Drosophila melanogaster: one gene and its partners. The protein of the gene in region 3 purifies or fractionates together with the protein of the main gene of each other region. This does not show direct contact. Each region holds a gene or a part of one and is shown on either strand. Other genes may lie near its edges. The genes, in order: Rich, CG8578 and Rab6.

Evidence for each region.
Region 1: the proteins of Rab6 (region 3) and Rich purify together in Drosophila melanogaster (affinity purification with western blotting, with the first as the bait; one study listed by BioGRID). This does not show direct contact.
Region 2: the proteins of Rab6 (region 3) and CG8578 purify together in Drosophila melanogaster (affinity purification with western blotting; one study listed by BioGRID). This does not show direct contact.

What each region holds. Positions count from the first base shown.
Region 1 is NT_037436.4:22,257,122-22,264,835, reverse strand, and holds Rich (RIC1 homolog), read left to right. Parts: upstream 1-1,914; 5' UTR 1,915-2,082; intron 2,083-2,139; 5' UTR 2,140-2,157; coding exon 2,158-4,212; intron 4,213-4,462; coding exon 4,463-6,697; 3' UTR 6,698-7,087; downstream 7,088-7,714. Other genes in the region: Ddx1 (Dead-box-1), read right to left, coding at 1-1,178, 1,232-1,283, 1,338-1,353.
Region 2 is NC_004354.4:15,842,525-15,848,485, forward strand, and holds CG8578 (uncharacterized protein), read left to right. Parts: upstream 1-1,951; 5' UTR 1,952-2,007; intron 2,008-2,112; exon of another isoform or gene 2,113-2,148; intron 2,149-2,802; 5' UTR 2,803-2,857; coding exon 2,858-2,944; intron 2,945-3,117; coding exon 3,118-3,402; intron 3,403-3,459; coding exon 3,460-3,823; intron 3,824-3,884; coding exon 3,885-4,043; intron 4,044-4,432; coding exon 4,433-4,617; intron 4,618-4,678; coding exon 4,679-4,789; 3' UTR 4,790-5,334; downstream 5,335-5,961. Other genes in the region: ArgRS (Arginyl-tRNA synthetase), read right to left, coding at 1-467, 531-860, 919-1,265, 1,329-1,457, 1,516-1,557; sun (stunted), read right to left, coding at 5,455-5,480.
Region 3 is NT_033779.5:12,106,693-12,110,720, reverse strand, and holds Rab6 (Rab6), read left to right. Parts: upstream 1-1,604; 5' UTR 1,605-1,921; coding exon 1,922-2,548; 3' UTR 2,549-3,500; downstream 3,501-4,028. Other genes in the region: Phae1 (phaedra 1), read right to left, coding at 266-1,078; ThrRS (Threonyl-tRNA synthetase), read right to left, coding at 3,959-4,028. UniProt on the Drosophila melanogaster protein: Protein transport. Regulator of membrane traffic from the Golgi apparatus towards the endoplasmic reticulum (ER). Mediates membrane trafficking during egg chamber growth and organization, possibly upstream of exocyst component Sec5.

The DNA of each region.
Region 1 (7,714 bases), on a different chromosome or scaffold from region 3:
TCACCTCAAATGCATGCAACGTGGCCGAGCAGACGACCATCTGCAGACGGCGACCATCCGATGTGATCTTCGGAATTTGTTTGTGTAGACGGTCAATCAGCTCGGTGTAACCCTGCTTCAGAAGTGCGTCAGCCTCATCCAGAACAAAAAAGCGGCAATGGGTGAGCAGGACCAGTCCACTGTTGATCATCTCCTCCAGCCGCCCGGGCGTGCCCACCACTATGTGAGTGCCCTGCATCAGCTGCGCCTTTTGCTCTTCCAACCTCACTCCACCGATAAGCAGCAGGGAGCGAACCTCTGGGTTGCTCAGGTGGTATTTAAACTTCTCGATCTGGTTGTAGGTTTGCTCGGCCAATTCTCTGCTGGGCTCCATGATAATGGCCTGAGGGGCGTTAGGCGCCGGTTTGGCGGACGGTGCTCCAGCTGCGGGACCGGTTATCGGATTGGCCTTGCTATGCTCGGGTCCAGCCTGGCAAGCGCCAACGAACCCGTTACCCGGGGCATACTTGAAGTCAGTCTTTCCAAAGTTAAACTGCATTTCGGCGTTCTTCAGCACCACCGCCGGGTAAAAGGTCTCCTTGGCAAGGTTGTCCGGCAGGCGGAAGGCTACGCCCAGGTTCTGGCCATTCTTGGTGAAGCTCACTTCCTGGTTTTTCAAATCGAGCAGGCAGCCGATGACATCTGCCTTGCCGAATGCCTCACCGTAGTCATCAAACTGGCGGTTGTTGGACTTCTTGCCGGTGCCGCCGAATCCAAAGCCCATGCGACAGGTGCCCAAATCGAGGTTTGCCTGCTGTGTAGACCAGCCCACACGACACAGTCCCTCGTCCGTTACCGTGGCCTCAAAGTAGAACTTGCCCTTTCCGCGAACGCCAGTGGTGGCCCGACACCCGTGCCACTCCTTGAACTCCCGCGACTGGCAACGCAGACCATCAGGAGTGACGGCAAGCGCGTTTCCTCGGTCGAAGAAGGACATGGTCCACGGAGTCACAGCTCCTCCAATTGCACCGCCCTTGCCAGCCTTCCCCTCCTCCAGATCACGCAAGGTCTCCCACACGATTTGCAGAATGGGGAGGCAGAAGGCACCCGTTTTTCCGGAACCAGTTTCGGCGGCCATCAGTACATCGCCGCCACCCAGGATCAGAGGAATGGCCTCAGCCTGGACATCGGTGGGCAGGCTGAAAATTCATAAATGTGAAGGCAATAGGCAGACAGAACTGTTTTTTCTTACGTCCAGTCCAATTCGTCTGTGGCCATTCCCAGCTCCGGAAGCACGCCAAACTCTGCGAGGCAAGTCAAATAAGCAATGCACACCTTAAATATTAATTTTCACTTACCTTCGAATGCAGTCATTTTGAGAATACTTCACAAATCTCCTTTTTGTTCTGCCTCTCGAAAGCCGGTTGATTTATTTAGTTCGAGATGCGTTGAATTAGTTCGAATTGACAGTGGTTGTTGGTGAACTAGATCGCGGACTCGAAATTCGGGAACTTTTTAGTGTTGTAAGCTTGCGCAGGTCAATGAATTGAAGTATTTAATAACTTTATTTTGAATGAAGGGTTTGAACATAAAAAATATCTTCGGGAATTCCTTTTTAACAACACTCATTAGTTGTTGGTAACTTTACTTGACTATACTGGAATAGGATAAATGCCAATGTTACTTGACTTTATGAGATAAAACTATGAAGGGTAGAACATTTAGTTCGTGATCTAATCATAATGTATTTATTTAATTATTGTTTAAAAGATGAATTTAAAACGATAAGAAGGCTCGTATAGCCGAAAATAGAAGTAACCCAAAATGCATTCACTTGTCGATTTTTTAAGAAACAGCTGATGGGTGCAGAAAAGCTAGCCTGACATCACTGTTGCCTTCTTAAAATCAGTGGTGCGAAACGGCGATTGGCAAACAGCTGTGATTTTGGAACGCTGGCCAACACTCATATTTGTATACGCGTAAAATCGCTCAGATTTTTTGTTGTGCTGTGGAATGTTGTCTAAAAGTGCTAATTGATCGGGGCAGATCATGTAAAACTGGGCGTAACCCACATAAGCTAAATGCACCCGCACCAGACCGCAGGTTGAATTCGTTTTTCCGCACTCCCGCTCTTGCTAATGAACTTTTCCGTTTGCGCAGTAACTTTTCACACGGAGGATGTACTATCCAGTGGGCTGGCCCAAGCGGGTGGGCCTGGCGCTGCCCGGCGAGAGCGCCAGCATCCGGCACATCTGCTGCGACGCGGTGAAAATACTTGTGGCCGCCGTGGGCGACGACTTTCTGGGCATCTGGTACGCGAATCCACTCATTCCCATTGCTTATTTCCGGCGGACGGAGGACTCCCTTCGCCAGTACGGGGCCAACCAGCTGATCGTGTGGAAGCCGGACTCTCGGCAGCTTGCCCTGCTTACCGCGTCCGGCTCCCTGTTGTTGTACCAACTGGACTTCGAAGCCAACGGCATGGGAATCCTGCAGCAGATAGATCCGCCCGCCGCGAGCCTCAAACGCGACTCCGCCGAGCTGTTTATCAAGGAAAACATACCCCGGCTGAGCCTTCGCGAACTGTGTAGCGTCACCTTGGGCTCCGTCATCACCACTGTGTGCTGCATTAGCCTCAGCGAATTACTCTTGGCCACCCAGTCCTGCGAACTGCTGCGTCTGCAGTGGACCGAACTGGAGCACGCAGAGAACGACCTAGAGTTGCCAGCCCTATCTTCAATTAAGCTGCGCGACATTCCCTTCTACGTCCAGCAGCAGCCTCAGCAGTCCGCGCGCAATGTGCCGCCCTTGAACAGGGACTCGTACGTAGCTTCTCTGGAATACTCGCCGTTCATCGGTGGCTGTGCAGCCGTCTTCAGTGACCGACGAGCCGCCTTCCTGATTGCCAACCATCTAAGATTTGAGACCGATCACATGCACGGCTTCTGGGTGCCGGATGTTGAGGATGCGAGTGTCTGCAGTGTCAATCACAAATTTCGACTGTTGGCATATGGTCAAGAGAGCTCGGCGGTGAAGGTGTACGCAATTGATGATGCCACCGGGGGACTAGAGTTTTCTCATCGACTTATCCTCACGGAAAACATACTCCCAGACAGCCTGGGTTCAGTAAACGAGCTAAAGTGGAGCCCTGACGGCTGCGTCCTTGCTGTGAGTTGGACAAATGGAGGCTTGTCCCTATGGAGCACATTCGGAGCATTGTTAATGTCTACTCTGAGCTGGGATTTCGGCCTTAACGTAGATTTGGTTTGTCAAAATCCACTCAAGATCCGTCGGCTCGAATGGTCAACCGAGGGTTATCAGCTTTTTATGCTAAAACTGCATCCGGAAAAAGACAAAAGTAATGTGCTTCAGCTGCAGTTTGTGAAGAGCGCTCTGAGTATGAATCCCTGCATGACGACTAGTCCGCACATCCTGCTGCAGGGTGACGACTGCCTGTACCTTAACCAGGGCAATAATCTGGAGCTAACGTATGCCGGAAGCCATGGAACGTTTCCATCAAGCGGCCTGGGCTCTGACGAAGACATTTCCGGTGATGGCGACTGTCTGGAGTTAAAACAAAGCCCGCACACAGGCAGCATTCTTACGGAGAGTAAGTATTGGACAGTGTTGCAGCTGCCGCTCAACTACGCGGCCACAAACTGGCCAATCCGATATGCTGCTATCGATCCCGATGGACTCCACTTGGCGGTGGCTGGTCGCACTGGACTGGCGCACTACTCCCTAGTGACCCGGCGCTGGAAGCTTTTTGGCAATGAGTCGCAGGAGAAGGACTTCGTTGTCTCTGGCGGCCTACTGTGGTGGCATGGCTTTGTAGTCATGGGCTGCTATTCGCTTCTAGACCGCACGGATGAGTTGCGTTGCTATCCGGCAGATTGCAAACTCGACAACCAATACGGGCACAAGCTGCAGGTCCGAGCACCAGTTATTAGCCTGAACTCATTCCGACACCAGTTGATTGTACTCACTGCCGATGGAATAGTGAGCCTGTTCAATATGTCGAAAAACTCAGCGTACGCCCTGGATATTGAATGCGCCTATGAATTGGACGTGAAGAGCATTTGCATCCATCCTGCCTGCATTGTTAGTCTGACTGTGACTAACCTCAAGAATGAGCTAAAGCCCCAGGGACAGCTGGGTGGAGATCAGGCAGAGACTATCATCGTGAATGTATGCGGCCGCATATTGATGATACAGCGCGATGCCGGCGAACAGGTATGTTTGAAAAATATTAATTGTCGAAATGCTTAAAGTTGGAGAGATGCAAATCATTTATACATTTCATATGTGAATTTACCGTTATCTCAAAGTAAAGCGAACGTCAGCATGTCTTCTATTTGGAAATGTCTTTGGTTATCGAGCCAACCATAACAAGGAATTTGAGTATGCATCTTTTCAACTTCGCGGACAATTATTACGATATATCATATAGCAACTAAAGTCAAAATCTATGTTTACCAAATAGGTCCCAAACACCTTGCTGGCCACCTGCCTGGCTAGCTGCGTTGAGGTCTTCTGGCTGTCACACTCCCTGGAACGCTGTGCGATGCGTGACTGCCTTTGGCTTTACTCCGGTGCCCACGGAATGCGCGTATGGCTTCCAATACTGCCGCCGGGAAGGGAGCGTCGCGAAGGCGAGCAGGGCGGCGCCCAACGTCTGCACAGTTTTATGTCAAAGCGAATCATGCTGAGCTTTCCGCTGAAACTTTATCCGCTCGTCGTGCTCTTTGACAATGTGATCGTTCTGGGGGTGGAGAACGAAAGCACGCTTTACGCCAATGAGCAGGTCTCCCACTTCTCTCTGCCGTTCGCCGTTATGGAACGCAAGTCGCAGATCTATCTGCACAAGGTACTTCGCCAACTGATCAAGCGGAATTTGGGCTACTCTGCCTGGGAAATGGCACAGTCGTGTTGCTCGCTACCATATTTTCCGCACGCTCTGGAACTGCTTCTACACGAGGTTCTCGAGGAAGAGGCTACTAGCAAACAGCCCATCCCGGATGCACAGCTGCCCAGTATTCTGGACTTTATAAGAGAGTTTCCCGTCTACTTGGAAACAATTGTTCAATGTGCCCGCAAAACAGAGATCGCCCTGTGGCCGTACCTATTTTCGATGGCTGGTAAACCGAAGGATTTATTCCAGATGTGTCTGCAGTCGGAGCAGCTGGACACGGCTGCGAGCTACTTGATAATCCTGCAGAATCTAGAACCCTCTGTTGTTAGCAAGCAATATGCCACCATGCTGCTGGACATTGCTCTACAGCAGCGAAAGTGGGAGCTGGCTAAGGACTTGATCCGGTTTTTAAAGGCTATAGATCCAAATGAGATCGACTCACCGCGGTCGTCGATGGTGGTGAATGTGAAAATTGCTCCTCCTCCCCAGGTGAATACACAGCAGCAAGTGAACCAGAATGCGGATGCCTTTAACATGGTTCTGGGTCCCATTGCCAGAGAGAGAAGCTTCTCCACCACGGTGACTAGCAATCTGCCCAAAGATAAGCAGGCATCTGGGACTCCTGGGGTTGCACCTGTGACCGAAAGCAGCAGTGCAGGAGCACCCTCGGTGGTGCGCCGGCGGTCGACTAAGCAGCGAGAGACGTTCTGCATCGATCTGATACTGCAGCGCCATGCTCGACAACTACTTCAGAACCACAAACTAATGGATTTAGGCTACATGTGTGCTTATCTGGACTTTCACCTTGTCAGCTGGCTTTCGCAGGAATCAGAGCGGGCAGCCAAGTTGGATGATTTCGCCGGCGCTCTGCAGGCGCTACACGAAGAACTAGATCTCCCCATTCCATTTCCGACTGCGGCAAAGGACGACTTTGCTCAGATACGCGGCAGTCTTCGACAGACAGGAGGCGGTGGATCTTCGCAAACGTCAGAGTCTGGCTATTTTAGCTTGGCCACGCCCAATGGAGCCGCAACACAGTCGCCACAGCTGCAGCCAAGCATTAGGGAAGAGGAGGAAGAACTGCAGCAGCCTAGCTCCCTACCAATACTTAAGACGCGGTCTGGATCGCAACTGTCGTTCGATAACTTTCGCTACCGCCGGCTGTACTCGCTACCGACATCAGAGGACGACCTAGCCGTGGATATTCTGCCTCAGAAGCTGTCCATTAAGCTGCGTTACTTGTTACAGCTGTTTATCGAGGCGAACTGCACGGACTACGCGCTGGTTCTTTCCATTTTGCTCCAGGACGCGGCTTCCATCTCGCGGATTGTAAACGGAATAATCCGAAGCGAATCGGTTCACACCTGTCGACGTACGGAATCTGCACTCAAACAGTTAAGTCAGAGCACCTTTGAACACAGCGGATCTTTGTACCGGGGGTTCGTCCTCACCTTGCAACCGCATGTTTACCTGCTAGAACAGTACATACAGTCTCTGGGGGATGCTCCCTGTTCGCAGCTCCAAGATGCCGGCCCGGGTACCGAGCAGGGCGTGGACGTCAGCACGGGACTCCAGGGACTGCAGAACGAAGTGGGCGAATTTGTTCCAAATTCCCAGCAGGCTAACGGAAACCAATGGACTGTGGCGGACCTTAACCCGAATCACCAGCGGCTCACGCGGCACGCCAGTCTAGAGTCTAACGGGAACGCAGTGGTGGCCAGCGGTTCCTCTGCCCATTCAACGCCCACCCAGCGCCAACTGTCACGGCAGAACAGCCGCGAGCGGGAGGGCTGTCGCCTCATGTAAGCCGTTAGCCGTAATCCGTAATGCGAGAGGCGTAATCCGTACTCCACATACTCAGCGCAAAGACGCAGATACGTACTTTTTTTGTAGGTCCGTGGGGTGAAGCGTTTTGTTGCTGTAGCTCGTTGTTAAAATTTTTTGTTAATTGTAAGCCGGCGTACACACTCACACAGGGTTAGAGAAACAACCGGATGGAAACTCACACGCAGACAACGAAGCGTCGCCGGCTAAACAAAACAAACCGTAAAACCGTATGAAGCATACGCAACGTAATCCATAATTTAGTAGATGAAATTTGCTGCAATATTTGTTAATTAAAATTATACAAACAATATACTTAAATATACAAATCAAATACAATTATATTTTTACTAATAAATGAAACCATTTAACAATTACCACCCTTGTATTCTTAAGCAGCTCGTTCAGGTGTCAATTCGAACTGATTAATTTTACTGCGATGAACCTGAAAACCACTACGAATAAAATAAAAAATAGAAGGAAATTGTTTTTATTCGAAAGAGAACAAGAAGTGAAAATCAATTGCCAAATTCTTTCGTACGGCTTTGTGATAGGCCAACATTAATTCATTCAATATCTACATTGGCATCTGTCAGCTGGTGCAGGAAACCGGAAATAGTTCGTATTTTCAAGTTTCCTTGATTTTCTAGGGATCAAAGGCCATGCCATTCACCCTCTGCGACTATTGTGACCTGGCGGCAGGTTGACTCTGCGACAACGTCGGTTGTAATTTGTTCGCCCGCTGCTGCTGTAAAAGTTAATCGCTGTGACTGATTCATTACGTGCCCTGCTTGATTTGGTAATGCAGGTGGTAGTTAGGATGGTGCCAACGCCGAAGTGCTGTCCCTCCCAGTCGAGTTTGTGTCCGTGTTGTGCTGCGCTTTTGAAGTTTTCCTCCAAGTTACCGGATTGCCAATTCACAACGCTCGAAACTCACATGCACACTTCTACTAGATACACTCAGGAAAATAATAATAAATAATTCTGAAGAGGGCCCTA
Region 2 (5,961 bases), on a different chromosome or scaffold from region 3:
TGAGTGGATTTAGGATAGCAGATCGTTCGGCAGCTTTGAATATGGTATTAAAATGCGTGCTTTGGCCGGAGTCGACCACATAGATGATCCAATCGCAAAGCTCCTCCTCCAAGCGATGGCGAATGGCTGCCATGTCAGAGGTATCATAGGTAAAGCCGCCATCCGATTTCACGATTGTCAGAGGTATGCCAGTTTTCGTATCGTCTGGCCACATGATCTCGCGTCCTTCATCCACTTCCAGCAGACCCTTGCCTCGCAAGTATTCCACAACGGACAGCATACGTGATTGGTAGAACGATTCCCCCCGTTCCTTGACGCTAATATCTAATCGTTCGTAGATCGTTTGGAACTCCTTTCGCGACACATTGCAAATTAGCTCCCACGCCTTAATGGAGTTCGGCACACCTTTCTGCAATGAAACCACTCGACTGTAGGCACGTTTTTTGAACTCCTCATCTTCATCGAATCTGCAAGGAAGTATTATTTACCTCGAGCACATCGTAATTACTTCGTAATGTTACAAGTCTTACCGCTTCTTGGATTCCTTGTAGAACAATTGCAGATCACTGATCGGAGGGCTTTCATTTAGGTAGTTGGGGAAACGATCTTCCAAATGGGCAATCAGCATGCCAAACTGTGTTCCCCAGTCACCCAGGTGGTTGATGCGGATCACATCGTGCTGCAGGAACTCCAGCAAGCGGCATAACGACTCGCCAATGATCGTGGACCGCAAGTGACCGACATGCATCTGTTTGGCAATGTTGGGCGATGAAAAGTCGACCAGGACTCGCTTTTTGATCACTTCTGGCGGCTTGACACCGTTACGCAATAGATTGCTTAAGGCTAAAGATGCATAATCTCTGCAAAAATTAACATTTTTAATGTTTATAATGGACTTTGTGTACTTATGCCACTCACTTGCTAAGGAACACGTTTACGAAGCCAGCTCCGGCAATTTCCAGCTTTTCAATGATTGGTGATGCTGGGCAGTGTCCTTTCAACTCGGTTGCAATATCACGTGGTGCTTTATTAATGCCCTTCTCTTTCAGCTTCTTGGACAATCCCATGGCATTGTTGCACTGATAGTCGCCGAATTTCGCAGACGTACTATTAACTGGTGCAATTATAACAGGCGTATCTCTGAATTCCGGGAAAGCTGATGCAATCGCCTGGCGAAAGACGCTTTCCAGGTGTTCGGTGATCGAAGAGGATTCCTTGGGCTTCGAAACGTCGCCGCCGGCGGCAGTTGATTCCTCAGCAATGGACTAACAGGGAAATAAAAGACATGAAATTCTTAAGCTTAAACACATTGGGGGTCATAAACTCACCTTCTTTAGGATAAACAGGCGGTTCTTCAGCTTCTTATTTTCAATTTGAAGCTGAACAAGATCGACGTCCAACTGTTCACCGCTTTTGGCAGTTTGTATTCTGGCGGCAAGGCCTTGGGTCTTCAGTTCCTTTAAAGCCGGCATGTCATGTCAAAATGTTGGCGTAAAGTAACAGCTATTCGCTTACCAGCTCCCTGAGTTTTTTCAGCTCCATATTTAGCTCGGACATGTTTCCAAATTGTGACTTCTGTTGCTCCGCTGATTAATAACAACAACACAACGATGCCACATGGATGGCAAGTAGTGTGCACACGTCGCCTATCGATAACGATAACAGCTGGTGATGTCACGCCTCACAGTCACTTCTAGGATGTCGTTTTTCCCACTGGCATTTAAAAGATTTTCTCATTTGACAGTTAAACTATGCAACAGACAAATTGTATTGTGTGTGCATTTTAAAATCACCTCTAAAATTGTAGATGTCGGTATGTATGGCAGGCTTTTTATGGCACATTTGAGAGCATTGCTTAGATAAATGTCAGCTGTGTGCGGTGGAAAAATCGCATCGGGTTCACATAGCACTTATGATTTTTATCGATAGATCGACTTATCGACCACCTCTATTATGATTAATTGTGATTGTTCTTTCGCTTAAGGTGTCTCTTAAAACTTTTTATGTGTATGTGTGTTTAATTAATTTATAGATTTTGTCACCTTTGTGTAAATACCTATAGTCTAGTGGGGCCGCAACCTAAACTCTTTGATGTGTGCTACACACAGTCCCCGAAAGATACGTGCGTGAAAACTTGGGAAAACAGATGTGTGTAACGCCGCTCCCATTAAAATTAAAACTGCAATGCAGACGGTTTTTTTTTGTTTTACAAATATAAATAGTGGATAAAAACATATTCACCGGGAACGACGGACGGATACATCCTATTTATAAACAGGAGATAAACTAGTTTTCTTGCATCTGTGCCACCAAATTGCCAAGTGTCGATGGGGAATTTGTAAAAGTTAAAAAAGAAAAAACCATTATGCAGCGCAATGCAAAAAAAAAGTTTACTTTATTTTCATCATCTGATACGCATTTTATCTGCATGTTCGCTTGCTTGGTGACAATGGGACTATATATTCACCGGTTTTTATATAAGTGAGTCAGCTCTGCTAGATAACAAAGTGCGTTCCGATGATAAGGTATCCATTATCATACCACACACGATCATCAATTAGGACATTCCAAAATGTTTACCAATATAGGAGGTTTCAACGAGCTGGACACCGAAAGAGCAGCACCAGAAATGCTGTCTCTGCAATTATTATATTTATTTATAAGTTAGTGGCTGAATTCAATGGACTTTTCTTTGGAATTATCGCAATATGATCCTTGTTATCACTTTCAATGGGTTCAAATCGAAACTGAATTCTTAGTGCATTCTTATAGACTTGAAACTAACAAGTTGCTTCTTTTTAGCGTGCGATCGCTTGCGATTAATATATAAAATATAGTTAAATTGAGCACAGATTCAATGGAAAGTATCAGCACCACAGGTCGGCGACGGAACAACATGCGAATCAATGCCGAAGACAATGCGCTGGATCAAATTACGAAAGAGGTGTGTATTTTACATCCCAAAACATAGCATTCAATGTAAATATTAAAATTGTTACTATCAACTGCGATTTGTACGTGCTCGGTTAACACAAGAGAATTACAGCCGCAAAGGGTCGCATAATTGAAACTCTATCAATTAGTTGATTTAAATGAAACTGATTCCCTTCTTTTCAGGCGGAAGCGCGACTTGCTGCGCGTCGACAGGCGCGCGCCGAAGCCCGCGAGATTCGCATGAGGGAGCTGGAGCGGCAGCAGAAAGAGCAGGAGATCACCGCCGACCGGGTCTTCGACATGCAAAACTCCACGGCAGTGGGCAGCGAAACTCTGTCGGCGCATCCCGTGCGCCTCGCCTACGGCGGACTGTTAAACGTGACCCGTGCATCAGCATCCCGCCGCAGCAGTGAGGACTCCGTGGAGGAGGAGGGCAGAAGTTTTCGCGACTTCAAGCACGAGCTTAAGGTGGGTGCTGACATCGCAGCCATCACTTCGATGTGATTTAAGTGGTTCTGCTTTCAGGATGTTGAGGAGCGGTTTCGCAAAGCCATGATAACGAACGCCCAGTTGGACAACGATCGCGCCTCGCAGGCCTACGAAGTCAAGCTACTGAAGGACAAATGCGAAATAATGGAAGAGTCGTATGCACAACTACAGCGCGAGTTCAAGGAGAAGATGCGTGACTGCAATGCCCTCAAACGCAACCTGGATCGCGCCAATCTCGAGCTTAAGCTAGTACAAGGGCAGTTAAACGAGCGCGACTCGTTGATCGCCGAACAGGGCCTTCTAATTGTAGCAGTTGAAAATGCCGATGGCAGCGATGCCAAGCGAGCTCTAGTGAGTGTCGAGAATGCCAAGGTGCTGGCCTCCGTGCAGGGTTCTTTAGGTGATTATCCCCCATTTGCACCTGGATGAGATCATTTAACAACAGTTCGAGTTCTTTGCAGACGTTAGACTTAAAAAGTTCAGTGACGAGAAGCAGCGGCTGCTGGCGGAGGTGCAGAAGCTTCACGAACAACTTGACGAGTATAAAAGTGATGGAATTTCCGGACGCCGCAGTCTTTCGCAAGGTTCCTTCGGCGATGAGAATGATTACGAGGCCCAACGTACGTGTACCATACTTACTTAATGCCAACTAAACTTTCAGCATGTAAAGTGCACCGCAGTGATTATCTTTTTTATAACTAGCAGCCCTTTTTGGCAGCACACAATAACTAACCGAGTCTTGCTCAAATTTGAACGATATTCAAATCGTATTATTTGTAGTTTTTATTATTTGATAACATGGCTTCAAGCAATATATATATATATATATATCATTTATATTTCCGATCGCATTGATCGGCCACATTCTCTCGCACTTTTGTGTATCTCCATATATCTTCAGTTTTTTAAAACAATAAATTGTATATAACTATTGCAGTTTGGCACTATAGGACTGCAACATATTTGTACTATATTACGAGCCCTTCCTTTTTCTTATACTATCCGACAGGGGAAACAAACAAAATCATTTCAGACCATAAATATAAGCTGCAAAAGGCGGAACAGGAAATCGCCAACCTACAGTCGAGCCTAGCGCGCTCCGAAACTCAAGTAATCCGATACAAAAGCACCGCAGAAGCTGCCGAAAAGGCGGAGGCTGAGCTGAAGCTGGAGCGCCGCAAGCTGCAACGCGAGGTGAGTGGTGGGAATGCCAAGCGAAATGAGCAGTTTATGATCTAGCTAATCCATTTCGCAGCACCGGGAACTCTTGGAGAAGTTGGAGGAAGCTGAAACGTCCAACAACCATTTGTTGAAACGCCTCGATAAGTTGAAAAACGCAAAGAGTGCCATTCTAAAGGACTTATGATCTAAGATGGGAAATGCAATCTCGCCAACCATTGAAGGATCGCACCCGATGACATAGGAAACGCAAGTACACGACATCATCAACACACAAATCAACATGCTGCAATTGAAATAGCACTTCGGTAGCAATTTAATCGGTCTTAGTGGTAGCAAATCGATAATTTTTGAAGGATAATCCAAAATACTCTACCTTAAAAATATATATATATATATATTTAAATTAAAATATAAACTAACTGGATAATAATTAACATAAATAATGTCTATATGTGTATATTTAAAGCGCAAAATATAAGTAACAATTCAATTGGTTCAGCATTATGTGTATAAAATCATTCTATACAAATATGCGTTGACAAAATTATAGCAAGAAACCTATCACTGATCCCAATTAAAAGGCTTCTGGTGAACCTGACCAATAGTTCTTTTCAAAATTACAATATTCTATTGAGTCTATATTTAAATCTTTGCTAGAAGTCCGTTTCATCGGTCGCGATCTCTAAACGGAACGCCCAAATAAATGCCACATTTAAGAACAATTAAAATCATCGTGTTTAAATAAATTACATTTATTTAATTTTATTTATTTTTCATGATTTTACAACATTGCAGCTTCGGCGGATCTTAGTTGTTGCGAATCATTCTCGAGTGGCCACTGAAAAGCATCTAGGATTCCGATTGGGTTTGACGCTCTGCGGACAGAAAAATGGCAATAATCAGCATTTGCTTTGGATAATAGTTTTTCATCACAAAGAAATAGTTAATAGTTGGTCGCTTGTAAACTTTTGGGGCGGGCAATTTTGGGATATATATATGTATATTAATATAAACATTATATTATATGTAAACACATCGCATTTGCATGCAGATCAGCTTGTAAGCGTAGTTAGAAACTTTGGGAACAAAGTTAGATACATAAACTGTCGTTGAGTTTAATGCGAACGCTGGGATAATTTGGGTTTTGTCTGCCGCGGCAGGCACTTACGCCAGTTTTTAAATTATTAATTTGACGATGGAACACCTAAGCCCTTTCATCTGAAAAATATATTCAAATATGACGCAATATGAAACATAAATTCTATTACTTTATGGAGCGTTTGTCTTGAAGGAATGGTAAGCAATTTTGCCTAATTTTGTTTCGATATTCCAATAAGTTACGAAAATTTTGAAATT
Region 3 (4,028 bases):
TTCACAATGATTCGGTTCGTTATTCTGTTATTGTGCAATGTAAGAAATTGTTATTTACAGCCCGAAAATATGTGAAGCATATAAATCTGTTCGTTGGTTGCTCACCGTGTTCCTCTCTCTTTACGAGATAAGATAAACTTTAAAAAACAGCTCGTTGTTTGATATAGTAGCTGTGATGCGAAGGAAAGTCCCACATTTAAGTGACCGCCACTAGGGACACACATTTGATTGCTTTTATTGAAAAAATAGGGAAAAACTCGACTATTTAGGACACCTGCTGGTTAGCCGATATCCACGATATAAACGACGAGACCTGCACGTAAACCGACGGTGAGTTGGCCTGACCACAAGGTAACTTGCCCCAGGACACGATGCCAATAAGGACATTGCCCTGGACCAGTGGTCCGCCCGAATCCGAGGTGCAAATGCTAACGCCGCCAGTTAGAGGACCAGTGCACAGATTGGTCGAGTGGACATCGCTGCCCTTGGTGCCCAGGGCGCTTTCGCAGGAGCTCAGCGAAATGATAGGCACATTGGTGGCCACCTGCAGGGTCGACGGATAGGAGGCGGTATTCGTGGTGCTAGTGCTGCCCCATCCGTACAGATTGGCGGTGCCAGTGGGCACCACTCCCGAGGATGGTAGCGTCACTGGGGCAACGGCGGCGCTCCAAACGAAGGCGGTGGGCGTGTAGATCATTCCGATGTCATAGGGCACAGTTCCGCCGGTGTACAAGTCATTGATCACGAAGTACGTGATGCTCCGCGTCTGCGTAGTGCTTGCAGTTCCGTCCACCGCGATGCTTCCGGCCACCAAGGTGCTGCCCAGCACCTGGTTACTATTGGTCAGGCAGTGGGCAGCGGTGACTAGCCAGTTGGCATTCAGAATGCTGGCGGCACAGTAATGGGTGCCACCGTACTGCATGGACACCGCATAGGGAGCACTATTCACCGCTGCCGGAGATCCACCCACGACACGCCCCTCGGGTGCGCCGATAGCCACTCCGGATATTCGGCATATGCCCAGTAGGAGAAGAAGCCCACTGGCCAACGACTTTGTTTGCTGTCCGTTCGCTAACATAGTTTTCGCGGAACTGTTTACATCGACCTTTATCGCGGCACGTTTAAATTAATTCGCCATTCCAAAATTTTGCCAGCGCCAGCAGATAAGGCTTTCAATTAAGGACCGTGTGTTCTTCAGATAACCACTTATTATAATTTGAGATTAAGCGACGCCCGAACAGTGACTCTTTGACAGAAGTACGTCAAGTTCCACCGATAGGATGGGCAAATACCTACGCTCGTTTATCTAAAAACAAGCAAATCACTTTAGAGAGCTTTATATTTGAAAATCGCGTTATCACCTGTTAGTATTTCTTACACTTAGTATTCACTTTTTAATATGAAATAAAAAGTTAAGCAATTACCTTGTACTTCATCAGTATTTAAACATTTTAAGCAGGTAAATTTTAGTTAAAATTATTTAATAACGGTAACGAATATCAATCGATTTTTTTTTAAATCATAAAACATCGATTTAGTACAAATATGCGTTTATCGATAGCGTGGCAGAGAAATTGCTTTTGATTGCCACTCTGGTCACACAGCAACTGACTCAGAAGTTAAAGAAGAAGAAGCAGAGACCGTAATTTTTCCACGACTCAACCTAGCGATTTACCAAGCCATTCGAGCCGCAATTGAGTCTTTAGCCAGACGGAAAGCATTTAGAGCGTGTGTAATAGAGTGCGGCAACTTGAAAGCGGTGCATCCCGAGAAATCGCAGTGCGAAAGGGCCCCGAAAACCGCTGGCCCAGCCCCATTATAAACAGTGAGGAGGGGTGGAGATTGGTGAGAGCGGAGCGGAGCGAGAAGAGAGTTCAGCAAACCCGTAATTAAGAAAAAGTAGACACGTACGTTGAGGAAGATGTCATCCGGAGATTTTGGCAATCCGCTGCGGAAGTTCAAGCTCGTCTTCCTCGGCGAGCAGAGTGTGGGCAAGACCTCGCTGATTACGCGCTTCATGTACGACAGCTTCGACAACACGTACCAGGCGACGATCGGAATTGATTTCCTATCGAAGACCATGTACCTGGAGGATCGCACTGTGCGCCTGCAGCTGTGGGATACGGCGGGACAGGAGCGATTCCGCTCGCTGATACCCTCGTACATACGCGACTCCACGGTGGCAGTGGTCGTTTACGATATCACCAACACCAACTCGTTCCACCAGACCTCCAAGTGGATCGATGACGTGCGCACGGAGCGGGGTAGCGACGTCATCATCATGCTGGTGGGCAACAAGACGGATCTCTCCGACAAGCGTCAGGTGTCCACCGAGGAGGGTGAGCGCAAGGCGAAGGAGCTTAACGTGATGTTCATCGAGACAAGCGCCAAGGCCGGCTACAATGTGAAGCAATTGTTCCGACGGGTGGCCGCGGCACTGCCCGGCATGGATTCCACGGAGAACAAGCCCTCCGAGGACATGCAGGAGGTTGTGCTAAAGGACTCACCCAACGAGACAAAGGATCCCGAGGGCGGCTGCGCCTGCTAGAACCGGTTGAGCCGACGATCCAACCATCCTCTCCCCCTTTTTCAACAGCAGGAGCAGATGCAGATGCAGGAGATCGGCCAGCAGCACTGGTGTACACAGGTGTCAGGTGTATGTACTGGCCGGATCTGCGGCGGATTCCTCAACATCTATACACACATACACACTTTACGTTTAAGTTTATTTATAAAGTAACAAATGATAGCAAAGGCAAATAGACTAAACAACAATTAACGAAATCGGCTAACTAATTACTGTTAATTGACGAGCTAATCCCGAGCGCAGGCGAGTGCGAATGCTAACTCATTGACACGAGATCAGGGATCAAGATCAGAGTAATATTTGCGAGTTAGCTACCAGACAAGAATATAGTGTAGTGCATTTCCGATACCCCCTAAACCCTCTAAACGAAAAAAAACCCAAGACCATGTACTTATGTCAGGCCAGGCGGTCCCAGGATCCTCCGACATTCCAGCTCTCGGCATCTCCAGCAGTCGTAGATACCACGCAGCCAGTCTGTGTTCAATGATTCCACCAGCCAGGCATTTTGTTTCCAATTTTAGCCCCCGTTCTGTTCTGTTTGCGGCTTTTGTTTCGCCAGTTTTGGTTAGGATTTCGGTTTTTTTTTTAGCACAGCGAACGCGACTGCTAACTGGAACTGTGGATGGCATAGGACTTGGCCACGTGCATCTTATGAATAAATATACACAAATATAAAATATGTATTTTTATGACTAAAACTGAAACAGATAAGCAGAGCACGAGCAGAGCAAACACTTAACAATATTATTAACGATTTTTGCTTCGATTAGCGAGAGAACTTTGTGCATTTTTTACGCGAAAAGCAAAAGCTTACAAAATTGATAATTGAATAAAAACATAAACTATTGATGCAATTTTTAATAAATCAAATTATGAAAATGAAAAGTATACAAGATACTAGCAATAAATTAATACAAAAAAATAAATTCAAAACATGACTCATACGTTGTGGGTGCACGCACACCTTTCCCAAAAAGTTTTCCGCCAAATGTGGGCCGACTTATCTTATCATTCCAAATCGTTCCTGAATGGACTACAGCGCACCTCTGTGTCGGCATGACTAGTCCTCAATTGCTGACAAATTCCACTGATTCGTCAAGAAACTGGAGTGAAATAGGCGGCTTAAGGTGGATCAGAAAAATACGATTTTTAGTTGGGGAAGCTTAATAATCGTATATTGAATCGAATTGCTTTTATTTGATTGCATGCTCTTCTCTTCTATTTGAAACACCTTAAAATGTGTTTGGATTTGGTTTTTTATTTGTGAATTCCGGTTTCGTAAGCGTAAATACATAGAAAGAACAAAAATGCGTACTTGCTTTGCTATGCAAATGTTAAGTATACTTTTGATAAATAGTTCGAAATAGAGTCTTAGAAGCTGTCCTCGTTGGCGATGAATTCGTCGCGAATCTTTTGCAGCTTTGTGATGAGTTCCGCCACG